Oryctolagus cuniculus: one gene and its partners. The main gene of each other region encodes a partner of the protein of the gene in region 3 in a complex. Links are inferred from orthologs where the notes say so. Each region holds a gene or a part of one and is shown on either strand. Other genes may lie near its edges.

Region 1 (4,724 bases), on a different chromosome or scaffold from region 3:
GACTGCTGTTTCTTACCCTTCCCCACGCCTCAGAAGGAAACTAGACACTGCTTCAAGCCAAGAAAGACGTAAAAATTAACTAGAAAGAAAACCTACAAAATACCTAGACAAAAAGCACGCAGGCGACAGCCAGAAGCCAGCAACTCACTTCCCAGTCCACTCGTGCGTACATGTCTTACCTAAGTTTGCATGAGTTAATGTAGCCATTCCCTCAACGGTTCTCCTGACAGCCACAAGGCACTGTCAGATGCTCACATACATGACGTCAAATCCTCAGACAAGTGCCAAAATCTAGATTTACAATCAAAAGTGCCTTGTCCAGAGCCACCCAGCTTCTGAGAGGCGGAGCTAGGATCCAAGCTCAAGTCTGCTTTCCTTCACGGTATTCTCTTTCCACTATAATACAGAATCCCTGTGAAATGATGGCTGCCTTTTTGTATTTTTTGTTTTGTTTTGTTTTTTGGACAGGCAGATTTAGACAGTGTGAGAGGGAGAGACAGAGAGAAAGGTCTTCCTTTCCGTTGGTTCGCCGCCCCAAATGGCTGCTATGGCCTGCCCATCCGAAGCCAGGAGCCAGGTGCTTCTCCTGGTCTCCCATGGGGTGCAGGACCCAAGCACTTGGGCCATCCTCCACTGCACTCCTGGGCCACAGCAGAGAGCTGGACTGGAAGAGGGGCAACCAGGACAGAATCTGGCGCCCCGAACGGGACTAGAACCCAGGGTGCTGGGGCCACAGGCAGGGGATTAGCCCAGTGAGCTTCAGTGCTGGCCGATGGCAGCCTTTAATAAAACCTACAGAGGGCCAGAAGCAAAGAACGTACCTCATCTTTCCAGCACAAGACAGAAGCAACCGTGTTCCCCTTTATGGACAGCAAATATGATCAGACACGTGCCTTGTCCAAGGTCACGGGCTAATAAATAGCTGACCCAAGATTTAAACTGAGGGCTGTTTAACTGTACGTTGGCACCCTTCTGACAATAACTTCAAAGCAATCAGAGTGACCTCTCAGTACTCAATGATTCCACCGCGTGTCATTTCCAGAGGAAACTGCACGGCGCTGAGGAAGGCCACAGGACACAGACAGTGGCACGAGGGTCACAGAATTTCAGACGACCAGAGATCTGAGATCCTGCCCCATCCTCTTACAGATAAGGAAACCGAAGTGCAGAGACCGCCAACCCGCCCTGCAGCAGAAGCACTTGACGCCACAGCAAACAGTGTAAGGGCATCTAGGTGAAGGGCGTGCTATGAAAAAAACACAGAGAGGTTGCAAGGAGCATGGCGTGAGCTCGAATTGAAGGAGCAAACATAAGACGTAATATCGGAGAAGGAAAAAGAAAAAACTGAAGAATGCACTCGTCAAGTTTTCTATCCAAGAAAGATACTTCTTCAAGTTCTGAAACGCAGATTTTTAGAGCACCTTTCCATTTCAGGAGAACACACATCCCCACTGCCACCTTCCTCCATCTTCATACTCGCTAGGCATCTCTGAGCTGTGGCCAGACTCGCCGCCAGTTCTGTCTGCTGTCCCCCTGTGTCTGTGTTAGAGTGACACACATTTTCCTAACTAAAATCTTCTCACCTAAAACTTATCTTGTGCTGCCTTTCCTCTTTCACCCTCAGAGGTGGAACACCCACAGCCTAAAGGCAAGATTTTTTTTTTAAATCTCTGCATAAAACTCAGAGTTTCCAGTCCTTTTTATTGTACTCCAAGGAGGAGCAACTAAACCACCAAGAACACAAGAATGCAGCCTCAGATGCTATATCGCAAAATGCAGCACTGTTGTTAATGAATCAAGAAACCTTGGTCACAGACCAAAAAGAGTTCAACACTGTGCGTATTTAGTAAGTTTTATTTCCCGGTAACACAACAGTAAATACATTCATTGAGACTGGTTGTGTGACAGGACAGCAGGGGAGGGAAAATACAAAGTATCTTAAGACACCCTGAAGTCCACATGGCTTTATTTCCCGGATGCAGGCTGGTCCTTGCAGCGGAGAGCGTGTTAAGTGAAGTGAGTGCTGGTGTGCTGACTCCCTGGAGCAAAGTCAAGTTTGAGTTCAGGCGCCAAGTACGTGGAGAGGGCGTAAGAGAACTCGCTATCACCTCTCAGAGCTCTGAAACCTCGCAGGCCTATCCCAGCCCGGGCCCGGCCGGCAGGCACCAGTCCCGGGAGCCACAGGTCACAGAGGCAGCGCCCGGGAAAGCGCAGAGACCGAGAGAACGGGAAGCGGCGGGGGCGGCGGAGGCGCGAGCCAGGGCAAGGGGTGGCCCCGGTGGGAGCGCGCTCAAGGAAGGACTGGAAGCCGAGGCAGGCGAGCCGGCGGCGGCAGCGCACCCGGGGAGGGAGCCTGTGCCCGCGGGAAAGCGGGCTGCGGGCCCCGAGCCAAGGGGAGTGACACCGGACCCGCTGCACAGACGGGGCCAGGGCGGCGAGGGGCAGCGAGGAAGCCCCCGAGACCGCCGAGCAGGGCAAGGCCAGCGGAGGGTCTCGGGGCACCCGGCGCGCCGCGGCCGCCCCGCACTGCACCCCTCACCCGGCCCAGGGCCTCTGCACGAACGCCCGGAGAAGTCAAACTCCCGCATCCTCCCCAAGGCCGGCTTCGGGCCGGTGAGGTGCAGGGAAGGCCTGGCTGGGGGTCCGAGCAGCGGGCAGCAGAGCGGGTCCAGGAAACGCAGGGCAGGGGTCCGAGCCGTGGGCCGCCCGCCCGCCGGAACTCACCCGGATGCCCTTCACCACGGTGATGTTCTCATTCTCGTCCGCCTCGAAGGTGACCCGGCGGGTGCTGGCGGTCCCGCCCATGGCTCCTGACCCCGCTCCTGCACGGATCCAGCACGGACCACGAGCGCTTCACAACTCCGCGCACACGCGCGCCAACGTGCCGGGACCCTTCCCGGGCTGCACGGGAGCAAGGCCACGACCCCAAGGAGCAAGGAGAAGGCGCCGGTCTGAGTTCCCGCCTCCTCCGGTCACGTGCCGAAACAGCTACACCTCCGATTGGTCAGAGCCGCGAAGGGCCCGCCTCCACTCGGCGGAGGGTGCTGGAATTGGCTGGCCTGGACCCGGATGCTATGGCAACAGGTGCTGTTTGACAAGTTTCCGGAGCTCCCGGGTGAAGTGGGAATTGTAGTCCCTATCGGGCACGAGGGGTGGTGGGACTCTCTTGCCTCGTCCCGGAGGACGCAAGGCATGCTGGGAGTTGTAGTCTTTCCCTCCAGAAGGGGTTGCTCTCTGGGCAGCTTGGAAGAAGTGCAATCATCGCTCAAGCATGCTTTGAAGACGTTATCCTGAAAACTCAGCAGAGTGAGGTCAAAGACGCAAGCTCGTTCTTAACGGATCTCAGGTTCATGGGGGAGATGCACAGCTTCCTGTAAATACAAATCCCTGAAGTAGAAGTTAGCAGCTCATTATTTTAGTCTGAGTCATTAAAAAAAATGCATTTTCCTGTATCCCCATTTCATAAACTATGTAGATGTTTGATTTCTTCTTGTAAAGTGAAAACTTAAATGCTGTCGTTATAAAATCTACAAATGAGAAAACACGAAAAGTACATTATACTCCGTATACGGAATTCGGTTTCCAAGTTTGTGTCTCCTTCCACTTCTGTTATATACCTTGGACCATAACACAGTTACGAAGAGAAGAATAGTATAAGTTAGTGGGACTATGGAAACCACAGCAGGCAAAGTTGAGAGAATCCATCTTGGAAAGTTTCTGGTTCACTAGAGTATTTCATTTCTACAAGACCAGTAAACAATTTTCAAGTTCCACCTACATCCTTACAATTTTTTTGCTTAACACTTTGCTCCACATTAGCCATACGACCCTAGTTCTTTTTTTAAGATTTATTTATTTATTTATTTGAAAGGCAAGAATTACAAAGAGGTAGAGGGAGAGAGCGAGAGTGAGAACGAGAGAGAGAGAGAGAGAGAAATGTCTTCCATGTGCTAGTTCACTCCCCAGATGGCTGCAATGGCCAGGGCTCAGCCAGACCAAAGCCAGGAGCCAGGAGCTTCTTCCAGGTCTCCCATGTGGGTGCAGGGGCCCAAGGACTTGGGTCACCTTCTGCTGCTTTCCCAGGCCCATCAGCAGGGAGCTGTTTGGAAGTGGACCAGCCAGGACTCAAACTAGCACCTGGTGTGGCACAGTGCTGGCCCCATGACCCTTGTCCTTACAAAAGTAATGAAAATATGCACTACCTTCAGGTGGCCGCTTTCAACATTATCAACAGCAGGCCATGACACCTTGTGTGTCAGACATCAACAATAATAATTTATCACTTATTCATTTTCTCTTTGTTTGAAAGGCAGAAGCAAAGACAGAGACAGAAAGATCTTCCATCCACTGGCTCACTCCCACTTGCCTGCAAAAGCCAGGGATGGGCTAGGCTCAGGCCAGGGGGCTGGAACTCAATTCAGGTCTCCCCTGTGGATGGCAGGGACCCAAGTACCCAAGCCATCACCCTCTGCCTCAGGATCCACAACAGCAGGAAGCTAATTGGCAGTGAAATATCAGAACTCCAGTAAGGCACTCCAACCTAGGACGCAGGCTTCCCAGGTGCTATATCAGATACTAGAGGAAGAAACCATGCCCTTAATTTCTGTATCTCTGGTCCATTACATGGGTATTGACTCCATCACATCATCTTATCATCAGCATGTTCTTTCCAACACATAGAATCCAAATTACACTGTTATGTTGCAGTTTTGAGATGATTTGCT
Region 2 (4,308 bases), on a different chromosome or scaffold from region 3:
GGCCCACATCGGGGCAGGGCCACCCGCTCCACCCGGGGCTCCCACGTGGGGGCAGGGCCGTTGCTGCCGCCTCCCAGGCTGTGCACTCACGGGGACGTGGGACACTGACGTGGGGACCCACACCCTGTGTTCCCTCGGGCCAACACCGACTTGTCTGAAGGCTGGGTTAGCCAAGTCTTCCATCCGCTAGTCCCCTCCCCAGGTGGGCTGCCCCGCCCCGTGGGTCTTCGGAACACTCCTCGCGTGCGTGGATCTCAAACTGCCTCCCCGAGTTTCTACCACACACCAGAGGTGGCCTGTGCGTGGCTGCCCGAGGCTTTAGGACTGGGCGCTCTGGGGCGGGCTCCCGCCTGTCCTGACTTCCGGTGCCCACCCGGCTCCGAGTGCCGAGAAAGTGCAGGGCGCGCGCCTCAGGGCCACCCAAGCCACAACCGCGACGTGGGGCGCGCTGGCCCCCGGGGGTGTGTCCCAGGATTCCCCGGGGCTCACCCACCACATCCTGCGGTGAGGGGTCACTCGGGGTAAATCGCCGGGGGCTGCGCCAGGCCCGCAGGCAGGTGCAGTGACCACGACCCCCCAGGGGCAGCCGCGGTGCCCCCCAGCGCCGGCTCAGCCCCCCGAGCTCACGGCCGCCAGCGGTCCCGGCCACGTGGCCACTCGGCCGCCCTGCCTAGCGCCTAGTGCGGGCCTCTGGGCCCACCCCTCCCCTGTCCCCATGGAGGGGCTGATGGCCTCGGGTGCAGCCCCTCCCCCCGCAGCCGCCAGCTGCCACACCCCACGAGAGACCTCCATGGTCACAGAGCTGCGTGGCGAGGGGTGCTGCGGACCCCCAGGGCCGCCAGAAGGGACACTGCCCGCCCTGGTAGGGCAGGAGGGCCTTGGCACGCCCCCCGCCTCCGAGAGCCGAGCCCACCCTGGCCCCACCCACCGGCGCAGGGCCGGCCCCAGGCGGGCTCCCAGCCCCCCCCCCCCCCCCCCGCGGCGCCCGGGCCAGCAGCGGGTCAGGGGCAAGTGCAGAGGCCTTTATTGGGCCGGCCGGGCCGCTCACTGCTTGGTGCGCTCCCGCACGTACGCCCAGCCTTCCCTGGAGTACTCGCGGGCCTTGGCCGGGGCCGCAGACAGAGCCGCCATCACCGTGAGGATGCCTGCGGGGGAGGCGGGGCCGGGCACCGGGCTTTGGAGACCAGCGGGGAAACTGAGGCACGGCCCAGCCGCCCCTCCCCCCCTCGCCTCGAGATCCACGGGAGACACACAGCGCAGGAAGAGGGGTGGTCCCCAGGGGCGGGGCGCGCACCTACCTTTATCCCAGGTCTCTCGGATGGGGAAGCTGATCTTGGGAGGAGCCGGGAGCTGCGGGGAGGGGGAGGGGCACGGGCCGGTGAGCGGGGTCGGGGTGGGGGGGAGGGCGCCCCAGCCCCGCGCACGGCCTGAGCCGGAGAGGGCGCGCGGCCGAGTACCTGGGGCACCTGCAGGCCCGTCTGCTGGCACACGTACTGGCTGAGCTGGTACACGGCCGGCGGCACCACCTCCTCGGCCTTGCGCAGCGCCGCCTCGCCCCTGTCGCTGGGCCCCAGCAGGTCCTGGTCATACACCAGGTAGACGGCGCCCCCGGCCACGCTGCCCTTCAGGAGGAACCTGCGGCGCGGGAGGTGGGCGCTCAGGGAGGGCACAGGGCAGGGGCAGCGCGCACCCTGGCCTCCCGGGGGACGCCAATGCGGGACTCCCCGCGCCGGCCCCACGGCACAGGGCAGGGGCAGCGCGCACCCTGGCCTCCCGGGGGGCGCCAATGCGGGGCTCCCCGCGCCGGCCGACGGCACAGGGCAGGGGCAGTGCACACCCTGGCCTCCCGGGACGCCAATGCGGGACTCCCCGACCCCGACCCCACGGCACAGGGCAGGGGCAGCGCGCACCCTGGCCTCCCGGGGGGCGCCAATGCGGGACTCCCCGCGCCGGCCCCACGGCACAGGGCAGGGGCAGCGGGCACCCTGGTCTCCCGGGGGACGCCAATGCGGGACTCCCCGCGCCGGCCCCACGGCACAGGGCAGGGGCAGCGCGCACCCTGGCCTCCCGGAGGGCGCCAATGCGGGACTCCCCGCGCCGGCCCCACGGCACAGGGCAGGGGCAGCGGGCACCCTGGTCTCCCGGGGGACGCCAATGCGGGACTCCCTGCCCCCGAACCCACGGCACAGGGCAGGGGCAGTGGGCACCCTGGCCTCCCGGGGGACGCCAATGCGGGACTCCCCGCGCCGGCCCCACGGCACAGGGCAGGGGCAGCGGGCACCCTGGTCTCCCGGGGGACGCCAATGCGGGACTCCCCGCGCCGGCCCCACGGTACAGGGCAGGGGCAGTGGGCACCCTGGCCTCCCGGGGGACCCCAATGCGGGACTCCCCGCCCCGGCCTCACGGCACACAGGCGGCGGGAAGGGGCGACCGCGACCCCCGGTGGCTTCCGACCAGTCTGCGCTCCTATCTGAGCGGGGAGCAGACCACCGCGAGCCAACCGGACAGGCGGGGTGGGGGTCCTGACGGGGACTCTCTCGGGGGTTCGGGACCCCGCCCGGCCGCCCCACGAACCTCATCAGCGACCACACTCGGGCCACCATGGTCGCTCGGCTCCGCGCAAGGACACCACACTGCCCGCCGCTTCCGCTCGCGGTGCGCAGAGGACGCCGGGACCTGTAGTCTTTCCTGTCAGCCGCAAAGGCCTCCGGGAGTCGAAGTCCCGCTAAAGCCTCTGAGACTCGGGAGAAGGACTAGCGAGGGTCCTACGGGCAGAGAGGCTTCTGGGAAATGTAAGCTGTGTGGGCGACCCGGGAGCCGCAAGGCCGTCTGGGAAGTGTAGTCAGTACCGCCCCGTGAACTCGCTGGGCCGCGAAGCCTCCTGGGAAATGTAGTTTGGTCCTACCCCGGCGTCCGTGCGTGGAAAGAGACGTAGGGGGTCTGGAGTGAAGCCTAAGGGTGACCAAGAAGGGGTCAGAGGCGAAGTCAGCCGCGCCCGCGCGGGAGACAAAAGCCTTCGACCTAGGGAGCCCGCGCCGAGAAGGTGGTTGTCCCGGCAACGCCAGGGCGGGATTGTGGGCGAGAGGCGGGCCCTCGGTCACGTGATCGCGCGCCGTTCGGAACTTCCGCCCCGGGGGCGGGGCCACGGCGCGGGTGGCCGGGAGTTGGGCGGGCGGAGGCCGTTGCCAGGCAACGGGGGGCGCGGAGTCCTGGCGGCCCGGCCCCTCCCCCCGAGGAGGTGGGTTTGGCGTCACGTGACTCGGGCCCTACGGGAGGGGGCGCGGTCGGGGGCCCGGCCGCACTGGGCTGGGAAGGGAGACCCTCAGGGCGTTGGCGTGACTCCCAGGCCAGGACCCCAGCCTCGCCGGACACTGGGGCAAACAGGCCCGAGTGGGTGAGTGCGCAGCTGGGGGCGCGCGGTGGGTCCCCATTGTCCAGGGGGAAAGCTCCGGCCCCCCACTCCTCCCTCATCCCCGCTGGCCACTGTCGGTCCGCCCATCTCTGTCCATCTCACATCGTCCACTCTGCCTGGCTGCTGCGGGCGGGGCGGGGGCTGGGAAGAGGCCCCTGCCGAGGGGCTTCGTGCGCTGACCTGGGCCTGGGAAGGGGTCGGCCTGACCGGAAGCTGCCACTGAGAGCGGACAGGTGCAGCGACAGGTGGGCGGGGCCAGGCCATTGGCGCCCCCGCCCCAGGTCCAGCAGGAGGCGGGGTCCGGAGTCTGCGCGGGAGAAGAGGGTCGGGGGTTCCTGTAGGGGCGTTGCTGAGACCCGGAGGCCGTGCGTGGTGGGCGACAGCGTGGGAGGAGGCGAGGCCAGCACCTGGGCCCCCGCACCGTGTACTTGGGGCACGCTGGGGCCTGGGAGAGGCGGGTTGGGGTCAGCCGCTGAGCGGGGTCTCAGGACTCGGGCCTGGATCTGGAGATTGGAGACTTGAGGGATCCCCCCCATCTGCCCTGCGCCCCCTGGGCCGCCTCTGCCTTGGGCATCTTTGAGCTCCTGTCTGCCCGTGGCTTCTTTAGACAGACCCCGACCCACCCAGGCGTGATGGGCCGGTGCCTGCGCAGGACAGACTCCCCTATGAACCTGGGCTGTTTCTCCCTTTCTTTTTTCACAAGGGGTGTGTGTGTTATTTAATTTATTTATACAATGCATTTGAAAGCTTGAAGGACAGGGCGGGGTGCGGAGCTGGGAAGAGGTTGCTCTCAGCCCCTGGCTCACTCCCCAGACGGCCCCACCATAAAGGCTGGGCCAGGCAGAAGGAGCCCACTCCGGGGGCTCCCAGGCGGGTGGGTGGCTCCGAGGGTGTGT
Region 3 (4,558 bases):
TTATTATTAGTTTCGTTATTTTTTATAACAATTATGTCATTTAGAGGAGGTTTCTGTTAAAAAACTGCTTCAGATATTAAAAATGGTGTGCCACTAATGTCTGTATTAGGTTTGCATTTGATAGATATTTGTTGAATGAATTAATAAGTAAATTAGGTTTATTGCTGTGGCGCAGTGGGTTAAAGCCTCAGCCTGCGGCGCTGGCATCCCATATGGGTGCCGGTTCTAGTCCCGGTTGCTCCTCTTCCAGTCCAGCTCTCTGCTATGGCCTGGGAAAGCAGTAGAAGATGGCCCAAGTGCTTGGACCCCTGCACCCACGTGGGAGACCCGGAAGAAGCTCCTGGCTTCGGATCAGCTGTTGTGGTCATTTGGGGAGTGAACCAGTGGAATGGAAAAACTCTCTCTCTCTCTTTGGCTCTACCTCTCTCTGTAACTCTTTCAAAATAAATAAAATAAATCTTTAAAAAATAAGTAAATGAATCAATATTTGGAATGTTTATGGGTACAGTCTGAACCTCTTCTTTCCTCAGAGTTGTTCATAGGGAGCCTAAGGGGATTGATTTTATTGAGAGTGTTGCACCTGCTCATGGCATCTTCCCCTGAGAACACCAAAATGACCCTTTTAAAATGTAATTTAGATCATGTTACAACTTCCAGACTTCCCATCTTATTCAGAATAAAATCCAAATTCTTCATTATGGCACAAACAGCTTCTACAATGTGTTTTATTTTACTGCCTCTGTATTTATCACTCCAGTCACTCTGGTGTTTTTCTTGGCTGTTCCTTCTGCATGTAACACTTTTTATTAAATTCCTTCAGGGTTTTTCTCAATGTTATCAGTCTTTCCCTAATCTACTTAAACCAGTAAAAAACCAGTAAACTCCTACCATATCCCCGCACTACATATTTCATTTTCCTTCCTTTGTATCTCGTTTTCCATAAGCTCTATAAGGGAAGCCACTACAATTCTGCTCTGTACTGGTAATGATCTGTTTGGCAGAGTAGGCGCTCAGTGACAGTTTTTTTTTTTTTTTTTAATTTATTTTATTTATTTGAAAGTTACTCCCCAAATGACCACAACAGCCAGAGCTGAGCTGATCTGAAGCCAGGAGCCAGGAGCCCCTTCCGGGTCTCCCACGCAGGTGCAGGGGCCCAAGCACTTGGGGCATCCTCCACAGCTTTCCCAGGCCATAGCAGAGCGCTGGGTGGGAAGTGGAGCAGCCGGGACTGAAATGGCACCCATATGGGATGCTGGCATTGCAGGCCGCCGCTTTAACTCGCTGCTGCTTTAACTCGCAGCGCCACAGCGCCGGTCCCCTCAGTAACAGTTTTATAATGAGTGAAGGTCCTCGTGTAGGACAGAGTTAACTTGTTCTTTTTGTGACCCTTTTTACTCGCCATTATTTATTAAGGCCGCTGCTGTGCTCGCTTCCGAAGCACATGTATTAAGGCCACTGTTTTAAGTCGTTATCTAGTCAAATCAGACAAAGAAAAATAATGAAAAGTTCTGCACCCAAGAAAATAACTTTTACCTGGGCGGTGGAGGATATTCTTAAAAGTTTTTATCGGGAACTGAGAGGGTCCACCACAAGGATGATCTATGCGAAACTGCCGCTAAACTAACCAAAGCTGCCGCCAAAGCAGCTGTGGGACGGAGAAAGGGCGGAAGCGGGCAGGCGGGCGTAACGGGGCGGGGCTGCCTGAGGGAAAGCCTGTCGAGCTAGTTTGTCCCTCTTCGCTCTCCGTAAGGACACTTGCGCCGAGAGGGTCGTAGATATGGCGGTCGTTAGGGTAAGTGAAAACAAACTTGTTTAGTTTCTTAGAGTGTCGGTAGCGTCCCAGGGATTACAGAAGGTATCGTCTTAACTTCTGAGGGAGTCCTGCAGCAAGGGACAGACTGGATCCGGTATCGTGAGAGTTCTGGAGTCGTTAATGTTTGAAGCTTCGTTACGGCTACTTCTCCCATTTGGCTTTTCCGCGGTCTGGGACACTTCCCGGTCCTCTGTCCCCTGCCGTAAACTGGGAAACGGCTGGGTGAAAATGGCCGGCGCCGCGACGGAGTACCTACCAGCAGGCGTTTGGGTCTAGCGCTGGGACGAAGAGAAAAGAATTCTTAGCATTTGTTTTCGTGCACAGGGCGGGACCTCATGACCCCTTCGAAGGACTTTATTCAAACATTACTTGGCGCAAAACAGACCCACAGTGAGCGGGTTTATACTCTCTGGGTTAGAATAACAAACGTTAAGTGTTTTTGAGGTCTGTAATGGAAAAAGGTGGCTTTACGTAGGAATCCGTTTACAGGAAGTGACTCAGCTGGCTGTTAGCTGCTTGCTATTCTCTAACTAGGTTTTGGTAACAGTTGTCTACAATATTGACATAGCGGGTTGTAAGTGTATGCTATTCTGCCAGGCTTTGCAGGAGATACAAGTATCAATAATTCAGTTCAGTCGAAGTTTATTTTTACAGCAGCTTAGTATCTGTCTTGGCTCATTTTTCGTATTTTCATTTTTGCCTCTCATACTTTATCTGAATTATCGTAACCCTCCTAATTTAACTCTATGTGTAGCCTGGCCCCATGAAATGTATTTTCCCCTGTGTTGTGAGAGTACTTTTACCAAACTGCAAATCTCGTGTTGTCCCTCTCCTGCTTAAAACCCTCTATCAGCACTCCATCATCTGCTGTCTAGGGTCTGGTTACACGCCTATGTCCGGAACACCCAACCCTGCTTTTACTTTCCAGTTTCATCACTTCCCAGGCTCATCTCTTGTCAGGAACCCCCCTTACATCAATATTGAACTACTTCACCATCCATGCCTTTTTACCTACTCTCTCTCTGGGCTTAAAGTACCCTTTCTCGTCCTCATTCAGTTACTTCCTATTTATAGTTCATTCATTTGACAGATACTTGTGTGCAGCCTTTCCATTTCCTAAGCACAGAATGCCTTTTCTGAGACATTGCCTCCAACTTCCATCTGCTGGTCAGTCCCCAAATGGCCGCAAAAGCCCTGGCTGGGACAGGCTAAAGCCAGGAGCCAGGAACTTCATCAGGGTCTCCCACATGGGTGGCAGAGGTTCAAGTGCTTGGGCCATCTTGGGTCAGGCGAATTAGCAAGGAGCTAGATGGGAAACAGAGCAGCCAAGACTCAAAGCAGCAGTCTGATATGGGATGCTAGTGTCTCAGGCTGTTTAACCCATTGCACCACAACAAGTTCTCCCCTAGCCATAGTAGTTCTTGTACTGCAAATAATAGACTACTTACTTATCTTTTCTACTTTCCTAAACCACAGGGTCCTTAAGAAAAATAATTTTATTAATCTTGTATGTTTAGTACCTCGCATAGGTCTGACTTGTATTAGGTACTCAATAATAAGTTCTACATGAATAAATAAGTGCCAGGTGAGGATAAATGAGATTCAATTAAGCAATGGAGATGCAATGTGTAACACAAGGGACTATGATTCAGAGTAAGGGGAATACCTAATCTCAAGATAAGTACAGAGTACTTTGAGAGTTCACAAGAGAAGGAACTCAAATCTGCTTTGAAGAGAATAAAGACTTCATGGAAGAAGTCATGGTCAGTGGTCAAAAAGCAAACCAGACTAATGTTTGTCACGGAAGCCTAGAGAGGGAGAGCCTTGAGCAATCCTTTGATATGACTTTTAAGTCATTGGCAACTACCATTTATTAAGTGCTTATTACAGGCCAGGCACTATGCTAAAACACTCTACCAATGTTAATTCATTTATTTAACATGACTTTATGTATAGATATTATTATTTACCATTTTAAAGATGAAACACTAAGGCTTAGAGAAGTTAACTAATTTTCCCAGTCATATTGCTAATAGGAGTAAGAACTGAAGGGAGATAAAGAGATACAATAATGAGTGGTATAGGGAGAACCTAGATTGTAAGGGGTTAAGGAAAGGATGAGAGAGAACAGGAATTCATTTAGCACTTAACTTCATTCATTTGCTTTACATATATATTTCAGTTAATCCTCTTAGTGAACCAAAGAAATGGGTAGTATACTCATTTTGCAGATGGAAAATTTCATGCTTAGAAAAAGTGCTTGCTCTAGATCATACTTGCTCAGTGGAAGCCCTGGGTTCAAAATTATTTAACTTCTCTAAGCCTTAGTTATTCATTTATAAAATGGTAATTATAATATCTATCACATAAAATCTTGAAAAATAAATAAATTAGCATTTGTAAGTGTTTTGGCATATGACTGGGCTGTATTTGACTCCAATGTCTTTCTACCACTCCTTGCTTTCTCAGGGATGGAGGTGTGTATTACTCCTTAGAGAAGTTTGATGGTGAAAGGAAGGAAAGAACTCTTGGAATAGGAGTAGCAAATTCCAGAAAAAAATCTTTTATTTATTTCTAAATTTTAAAATTTATTTACTTGGGAGAGAAAAAGAGATACAGAGAGTTCCCATCTGCTGGTTCATCCCCCCCAGATGCCTGAAACAGCCAGAGATGGGCCAGACTAAAGCTGGGAGCTGGGAATTCAGTTGAGGTCTCCCAGTTGGATGGCCAGGACCCAAATATGTG
Region 4 (4,008 bases), on a different chromosome or scaffold from region 3:
TTTTTTTTTTTTTTTTTTTTTTAAGTTTTAAGCTTTTTATTCAGTGAGAGAAATGTATAGGAGAGTGAGGGCCCTATCTAAAAGAGAGAGGGAAATCTGGGTTCATACCAAGTACCAGGAGCCAGCCATGTGGAAGAGCATGGAGGGCCAGGAAGCATGGGGTGGGTGGCCTGAGGGCCATGCGCCCCAAAGGTGCAGGACAGCAAGGCCCGCAATGCACAGGGGTGGAGGGAGAGGTTTCAGGCCGGGGCTTCCTGAGCTAGCTGGAAGGGAAAGGAGCAATGAAGAGACCATGTAAAACCACTGATGTATGCAAGTATTGCTTTGCTTGTTTCAGTGAGCCTGTGTTTCCTAATTTAGGAATGATAATGTTTTATTAAAAATAAAAGGGATATATTTCTTGTAGTTTCCTGTGGGTAAGTAGTCATCTTAGGGATATCTGAGACATGCTGCCAGGTTCTGACAAAATGTGAGACATCACAGATGGTAAATAAAATATTTCTGTTACTCCTTAACTTTCTCTGGCACATCTCTGGAAGTCTTTTATGGATAGTACCTTAAATCTAAGGCAGGTAGTAACTGGAAAAGAGAAAAGCAAGCATTACTCACAAATTGATGTGTAATTGCATGAATCCTGGAGATTAAAGAAACAAAAACTGATTTTCATTTTTACTCAGATTCTGTAGTAAACTTTGTTTCTGACACTGTAATTTGATTTAGAAAGTAAATAGAAACACCTGCTTGTTGTATTTGTAAAAGAATCTTTAAGGGGAAGGGCATATGTATACTTTATTGTTTGTCCTAAAAGAACCTTTTGTTAGTACTAAAATATGCATTAGTGATTTGGAATAGAATTTTTGAACTGCAAATTTTCTAGTAATGATGACTTTTCTTACTGTGATTAATAAAATGCTTTTGTTGTAAAGCACTCATAATTTCATATTAAAAGCCTGAAAGACTTGACCTTTGAAATATTATAAATTGTTGTGTGCTGTCTTTTAGAAACAGTATTATATGTAAATTTTTTTTTTTTCCCCTCAAGATTCAGTCTGGTCCACTAAAAATCTCCAGTGTATCAGAGGTAATGAAAGAATCTAAACAGCCCGCCTCACAACTTCAGAAACACAAAGGAGATACTCCAGCTTCAACAACAGGTACTTCTATCTAAAACCATTCTTTAAAAATTATGGGGAAATGAATTGTTTTGATGTATTTGTCAAGAGAAGGCCCCCGGGGAAGGACTCTTCTGGTCCCCAGCTCTCACAAGTCATTCTTGTGCTCAGTTTCAGAGTTGAACATAGCATTGAGCTTTATTATGAAGAACTGAGTGAGGAAACAGTATAGGTTGTCTGGCCTGAAACATATTTATCTTTTTTTCCCTCTGACTCCTAGACTTTTCGCCTCTTTGGGTTTTAAGATTTATTCTCCCCCACCCCCCACCTCTTTTATCTACCTCTTCAGCAGTTCTTTAAGTAATCAAAGTGTCTTTTTGTAGTTCCTGCAGATATATTTTATCTTTGGGTTTCCCAGTAAACCCACCCTAATTTACAACTTGCCTAACTCTAACATGTTCAACATGAATTCAGTCTCCTTGGCTTTCTCCATAGTGAAACTTGTCCTTGATTCAATCAGATGTTTGTTGGCAGATGGTTCACTTAGTGTTATGTGCAGTCTTCTAGGCACCATTGGGTATAGTAATCAACAAAATCATTTTAGAAACAAAAAACCTCTGCTAATATTTCTTGGTGGGATTAAGGGAAAGAGATCAAGTAAAATGTCAGTATGAGAAGGGGAGTATTGCAGTTTTAAATGGAGTGGGTGAGAAAAGCCTCACTTGGAAAGTGTTACTTGAGGAAAGGCTAGAAAGAGAGAAGGGAGTAAGTCATGTAAAAAGCTGGTGGGGAGGCATCCCAGGCAGAGAAGCTAGTGGAAAGAGGCTTATTCAAGTGAGAAGCAGATAACGCTGGAGTAGAGTGAGTGTGGGACGCACAGCAGCAAATCCTACCAGAGAGGGAGCAGAAGGCCTGTTGTGGCAGTCAGTACTTGAAGCAGTGCTAAGAGATTTCATTTCTGAGTGGTGTGAAGAGGTGTTGGAGGGTGCTAAGCCAGGAGGCTAATACTTGACTTGAATTTTTGTAAGATCACTCTGGCTGTTGTGAACCAAGAAGGGACTGAGGGCAGAAGCAGGGAAGCTAGTTAATGAGTTTTTAACTGAGACCTTCAATTTAAAAAAGGAAACTGCATCCATTGGTTCCTCCTCCCATTCCGTCCCTAGAATTACTTCTTTTTCTTTTCCATCAAAACTTGTCATTAAAGTTGCAAGCCCTTGATTTTTAAAACTCTCTATGAAGTGTTTCTATTAAATGACTTCTGCTCCTAATTTACTGCCATCACTGTGAACTTTTCTTCTTGTATTTGAGTGTCATCTTGTTCCTGATCAGATGTCTTCTTTCAGTATCTACTATTCTTCAGAGTAATTGAAATTATTCTTTGGTCCGGGCCAGTGCTGTGGCTCAGTGGGTTAACGCCCTGGCCTGAAGCGCTGGCATACCATATGGGCGCCGGTTCGAGTCCCGGCTGCTCCACTTCCGATCCAGCTCTCTGCTGTGGCCTGGGAAAGCCGTAGAAGATGGCCCAACTGCTTGGGCCCCTGCACCCACAAGGGAGACCCGGAAGAGGCTCCTGGCTCCTGGCTTCGGATCAGTGCAGCTCCGGCCGTTGCGGCCATCTGGGGAGTAAACCAGTGGCTCTCCTCTGTCTGTGTAACTCTGACTTTCAAATAAATAAATCTTTAATAAAAAGAACAATTACTTGTGACACATTTTAAAAAGAAATTATTCTTTGGTAAATTTTGCTTTCTTTTGTGACCCTTCTTTATTACAGACTCTTTTCCTTCATTATTCTCTTTCCATGTTACAGAAATCTGATGTCTACTTCCTACATGTTTTTTTTTTTTTAAAGATTTATTTATGGCCGGCGCCGCGGCTCACTAGCTAATCCTCCGCCTAGCGGCGCCGGCACACCAGGTTCTAGTCCCGGTTGGGGCGCCGGATTCTGTCCCGGTTGCCCCTCTTCCAGGCCAACTCTCTGCTGTGGCCAGGGAGTGCAGTGGAGGATGGCCCAGGTGCTTGGGCCCTGCACCCCATGGGAGACCAGGAAAAGCACCTGGCTCCTGGCTCCTGCCATCGGATCAGTGCAGTGCGCCGGCCGCAGCGGCCATTGGAGGGTGAACCAACGGCAAAGGAAGACCTTTCTCTCTGTCTCTCTCTCTCACTGTCCACTCTGCCTGTCAAAAAAAAAAAAAAAAAAAAAAAAAGATTTATTTATTTATTTGAAAGTCAGTTACACAGAGAGAAGAGGCAGAGAGAGAGAGAGAGAAAGAGAGGTCTTCTCATCTGCTGGTTCACTCCCCAGTTGGCTGCAACAATTGGAGCTGCGCTGATCCGAAGCCGGGAGCCAGGAGCTTCTTCTGGGTCTCCCACGGGTGCAGGGGCCCAAGGACTTGGGCCATCTTCTACCACTTTCCCAGGCCATAGCAGAGAGCTGGATGGGAAGTGGAGCAGCTGGGACTCAAACCCCAGGCCTATATGGGATGCTGGTGGCACTACAAGCGGCGGCTTTTCCCACAGTGCCGGCCCCATACTTCCTTACATGGTAAGGATTAGTACTGTTACTGGAAGTCTTGCCTGAGTGTAATGATAGTTAAAATGCAGATGAATGTTGACAAGACTTCTTTGTCTTAGTGCTTTTCCAACTATCATTCAATTTGTGTGAGTTTGTGTTTGCAGTGCATGGTGCCCCTGTTTGTATATTATTCAGATGTATGGCATTACATGCCTTTGTGTTTTTAAGGAGTCAGATGTAATGTGGGCAGTTCTAGCAGTCGATTATTACGTGTTTGCTCTATTAATCCAAAAAAATATAAATGCCACGAGTAACATATATTTATAGCACCTACAGAGGCAGCTCAAATTATTTCTGCAGCAGGTGATACGCCATCAGTCCCAG
Region 5 (4,008 bases), on a different chromosome or scaffold from region 3:
CTCACTCTTCCTACCTTTCTTCTTCGTTTAAGGTTTTTTCACTTGATGAGGTGCTCAGAAAATCTCTTATTATACTTTCACGGCTTCAGTTCTCAGATTTAAGTCTCTTAATTCCTCTAACATTTATTTGGAGGTATGGTGTGAGATAAGGATTTAAATTTAACTTCTTTTTCTAACCTTGTTCCATCACAAAAATAAAAGCAAAAACTAGTTTTACAAGTTAAAAATATCTTAAAATCAGTCAACTTCCAGACGGTGCACTTAGGCTGACTCTCCCCCAGCACTCAAACTCAAAGCTCACTCCCATCCCGTAAACTGCAAAGTCTCTGGTGAGAACTAAGACCGAATGACAAATGAACCACTATTCTTGCTTTGTATAATGCTGAGACTTAACAAAACCAAGGCAAATGCTTATTTTATCTTCCAAAGCTGAAACTGAGGTGTAACCTAGTTTGGCAATTTTCACTTTTCCCATCATTTTCTCCCTCTCAGCAGGCAATCCAGTTTATTAGAATACCCTGGGTCAAGTTATACCCCTCCTCAAACCCTCATCAGTTGGCTAGAGAGGGGTGATGATGAAGCACCCATGGTAAAGTTCTGTCACTTGTAGATCTCCAGACCCAGCTACTGATACGCTTCAAGGCGCACGGGGAGCCCTGCTGCAGGCAGCACCGGGACGGCAGTCAGAGCACCTGGCTCCTGCTCCCTGGCTCGAGGATGAAGCCAGAGCTCTCTGGCTACTGTGTGGAGGTTTCCATGGCCTGGCCCCTAAATAGCACCCCCATGTCTCTCCTTCCCTTAAACTTTACATTCAGAGCAGACCCCTGCACTGGCCTCTGGGCCCCTCCCCCTACTGTTCCCTACCTGAAATGCCCTTCTACCACATTCTATCTTTCAAAATCCTCCCTGAAGTAATGAGCCATTGCCTCCTGTGTGCTACCACCAACCCTGGGCAGCCTTGCACCATGCTACACTAACATAACCACTGGGGTACACATCTGGCCCCTGAGCCAAAGCTGTGTGTGCCACAGACAGGATACCAGCCTGCCTGTCATTATGTCTTAGCATGGAGGCACAGGACCTGGTCCATGAACAGCATTCAAGAAGTGCTAAGTGGACAGGATATAGCTGCTGCCCTCTAACCCTAACAGGGAAGATGAGGAGAGAAGACAGCTCCGCTGGGAGGCAATGCACGAGAACACTCCAGTGCACGGTTATCCACTGTGGCACAGACTTTATCCTCTAGTGGATGGCTACTCCAGACAAATGACATGGTTTTAAACCAAGTTACATGCATAGACAGATCCAGATCCCCATAGAGGGTGCTGGCTGAGCAGAAAAGCAGCAGCTCCAAGGACATTTTTGTTTCGTAGTATCTGTTTTCGTAGCTTATAGCCTCTTTTCTTAAAACGGACTTTGCTTCTTTATGTTTGCTACAAGTAGTTATTTGAGGAAAAGAACAAATTTCTTCATTTGTGATGACATAACAGGGTAGAGATTAAGTCAGCTGGAGCCTGGCTTGGGTGCCAGCTCCACAGGGGGCCAGGGAAGAGGACCCCTCCCGGAGGCCGCGAAAGGACCCCTTGACCTGTGGTTACATGAGAGTTACCGAGGTTGGCACCAAAGTCTTGAGCAAAATTCCTCCTTATTTGGCCCAATTAAAGTAAATCCCTACAGTCCTTTGACTTGAAGCCTGGCTGGATGTCCGGCTGAGGCTCTGTAGTGGTTACATTTCTTTTAAGGATCCTTAGCAGCAACTTCTTACCTGAGTTGTCAAACCCAATCCTTCTGCTCTGTTTTCACAGGTGGAGAGACTGAAACAGAGTGAGGGAAAACAGCCTGGCCCAGGTCCCGAGAGCTCTGACTGAACAGTGCTGCCTTCACTGCCCCAGACAGCGTCTGCCACGCATGGAGAGCCACACGCCCCGCAAGAGTGTTGCTGACATCACCCTGGCACGCACGTGAGCCACACGGGCCGCTCACTGTACTCTGACAAGCAGGTGACTGGTTGTACCCTCCACCCTCTTCCTCCACTCTCCCCGGGGTGCGACCCGCCCTACCTTTCTGTGGGGTGTTTGCACTGCCTCCTGGAGACCCCAACGCAGACGGCGGAGGGGCTTGCTGCTGGCCTGCTGCAGGCTGGCTGGAATCCTTCATGCGGTTAACCACATTTTCAGACAGCTGCAGGAAGGATTGAGGAATGGGAAGAGGGGGACAGGGACAAGTTACACCACAGAAACCTCCAGAAAGGCAGAGTCCCCTGCGTTCACGCCCCAGATTTCCTGAACATACTGCTTCCTCCAGACCCACTCAGAAACCTCTCCTGGTACCCAGAGCCCATCAGGCCAAAGCCAACCCTGTCAGGAATGCCGAGCCTTCCGCAGTACGTCCCGGACTGGCTCCACAGCTTCACCTCCTACCACTCCCAGACGCACGTCCTGCACTCTGCAAAGCTTGAGTTCTCATTTTCTCACCTCCTCGGGGGCCACATATGCTGTTCCCTCGGAACCACCACCAGGCCCCACTTCCCACCCTGGCACGTCAGCACCTGCCTACATCTGACTCTCCCATTTAGGGCACCCGAGCGTTCCCTTCTGCAGAGACCTTTCTCCAACAGCACCCACGTGAAGCATCGCTTTCTCCTCCCTAAACCCCCGTTATGACGTGCGTGCCTCTCAAGGCGGTGCTGCCCCTCCTGCCCTCCCTCCTGCTGGCAGCCCGCGAGGCTCCGTGGGCTAGGGCTGCCCTCACTCATCTCCGTAAACCCTCCGAATCCACACGCGGAGCAGATCATCAGGACGCTGCTAGTCTCATTGCTCCCTATGCCTTTAATGAAGACTGGATCACCAAAACTTCCATTCATTCGAGGGAAGTGAAATAGGCATCAGGGGGTCATTGAACAGTTTACTGAGATGAAACAGCAAGCTGGGGATACATCCGGAATAAAAACCCTTAAGAGTTCACTTCAGTAAATATTTATTAATTGCCTAATATGTGTAAGGCATCATAAAGCACAGTTGAGAGAAGACATTAAATATGACTTCAAGACAAAAGACATGATCAGCAATTCCAGTTCCAGATATCTAACTGAGAAGAGTACTCCCCTGTGTGCACAGAGGCATGTATAAGAAGCTCACTGTGGCACTGGGGGGGGGGGGCAGAATTGGAAACATGAGAGCATCTAACAACAGGAAATTGGCTAAAGAAATTATGGTGGTGGGGCGGGCATCGTGGCGTCGGGCATCGTGGCGTAACAGGTTAAGCAACTGCCTACAATACTGGCATCCCATATGGGCACCGGTTCAAGTCTCAGGTACTCTACTTCTGATCCAACTCTTGCTAATGTGCCTGGGAAAGCAGCAGAAGATGGCCCAAGTGCTTAGGCCCCTGCACCCACATGGGAGACTGAGAGGAAGCTCCTGGCTCCCAGCTGCAGTCTGGCCCAGCCCTGGCCATTGTGGCTATTTGGGGAATGAACCAGAGGGTGGAAAATCTCTCATTTCTCTAACTCTGCCTTTCAAATATATCTTTTAAAATAAAAGAAATTATGGTGTATATTGCCTGAACTATTTAGGAACCATCATGGAAGGGTGTATGCAACACAACTGCTGACTGTTTGAACAGTCAGAAAATCCTTTCTATATCTCAATTTTTGTAAAAAGATATGCACAAGTATAAAATCACAAACTCAGAAATATAGCTAAATGAACAATGTCTTGGCAACCTTGCCTAAAGTCAAATGATCATAGATATAGAAGTTTACTTCTGGGACGGAGCTCCTCCTGGTTGCTGGCTTCAGCTTGCCGAGCCCCAGCTGTTTGTGGCCATCTGGGGAGTGACTCAGTAGATGGAAAGTAACTTCTCTCCCTCTTGCTCTCATTCTGTCACTCAGTCTTTCAATCAGATTCATAAATCTTTTTTAAAATGTACATTTGAGTTTTTACTATTTGCCCAAACACACATACACGGATCTGCACCCAGGGGGAATATACGGGGCTACTACCAACG

Evidence for each region.
Region 1: APOOL (region 3) and CHCHD3 share a complex: the UniProt entries of both Homo sapiens proteins name them as parts of the mitochondrial contact site and cristae organizing system (MICOS) complex. The link is inferred for Oryctolagus cuniculus from reciprocal best matches to the Homo sapiens genes APOOL and CHCHD3.
Region 2: APOOL (region 3) and MICOS13 share a complex: the UniProt entries of both Homo sapiens proteins name them as parts of the mitochondrial contact site and cristae organizing system (MICOS) complex. The link is inferred for Oryctolagus cuniculus from reciprocal best matches to the Homo sapiens genes APOOL and MICOS13.
Region 4: APOOL (region 3) and IMMT share a complex: the UniProt entries of both Homo sapiens proteins name them as parts of the mitochondrial contact site and cristae organizing system (MICOS) complex. The link is inferred for Oryctolagus cuniculus from reciprocal best matches to the Homo sapiens genes APOOL and IMMT.
Region 5: APOOL (region 3) and CHCHD6 share a complex: the UniProt entries of both Homo sapiens proteins name them as parts of the mitochondrial contact site and cristae organizing system (MICOS) complex. The link is inferred for Oryctolagus cuniculus from reciprocal best matches to the Homo sapiens genes APOOL and CHCHD6.

What each region holds. Positions count from the first base shown.
Region 1 is NC_091434.1:168,944,005-168,948,728, forward strand, and holds the start of CHCHD3 (MICOS complex subunit MIC19), read right to left. Parts: upstream 2,977-4,724; 5' UTR 2,806-2,976; coding exon 2,725-2,805; intron 1-2,724. UniProt on the Homo sapiens protein: Component of the MICOS complex, a large protein complex of the mitochondrial inner membrane that plays crucial roles in the maintenance of crista junctions, inner membrane architecture, and formation of contact sites to the outer membrane.
Region 2 is NC_091447.1:60,301,804-60,306,111, forward strand, and holds MICOS13 (MICOS complex subunit MIC13), read right to left. Parts: upstream 3,055-4,308; 5' UTR 2,604-3,054; coding exon 2,575-2,603; intron 1,636-2,574; coding exon 1,458-1,635; intron 1,351-1,457; coding exon 1,299-1,350; intron 1,146-1,298; coding exon 1,045-1,145; 3' UTR 1,009-1,044; downstream 1-1,008. UniProt on the Homo sapiens protein: Component of the MICOS complex, a large protein complex of the mitochondrial inner membrane that plays crucial roles in the maintenance of crista junctions, inner membrane architecture, and formation of contact sites to the outer membrane.
Region 3 is NC_091453.1:65,869,379-65,873,936, reverse strand, and holds the start of APOOL (MICOS complex subunit MIC27), read left to right. Parts: upstream 1-1,687; 5' UTR 1,688-1,777; coding exon 1,778-1,792; intron 1,793-4,558. UniProt on the Homo sapiens protein: Component of the MICOS complex, a large protein complex of the mitochondrial inner membrane that plays crucial roles in the maintenance of crista junctions, inner membrane architecture, and formation of contact sites to the outer membrane.
Region 4 is NC_091433.1:116,583,150-116,587,157, forward strand, and holds part of IMMT (MICOS complex subunit MIC60), read left to right. Parts: intron 1-1,042; coding exon 1,043-1,154; intron 1,155-3,951; coding exon 3,952-4,008. UniProt on the Homo sapiens protein: Component of the MICOS complex, a large protein complex of the mitochondrial inner membrane that plays crucial roles in the maintenance of crista junctions, inner membrane architecture, and formation of contact sites to the outer membrane.
Region 5 is NC_091441.1:109,715,058-109,719,065, reverse strand, and holds part of CHCHD6 (MICOS complex subunit MIC25), read right to left. Parts: intron 2,182-4,008; coding exon 2,061-2,181; intron 1-2,060. UniProt on the Homo sapiens protein: Component of the MICOS complex, a large protein complex of the mitochondrial inner membrane that plays crucial roles in the maintenance of crista junctions, inner membrane architecture, and formation of contact sites to the outer membrane.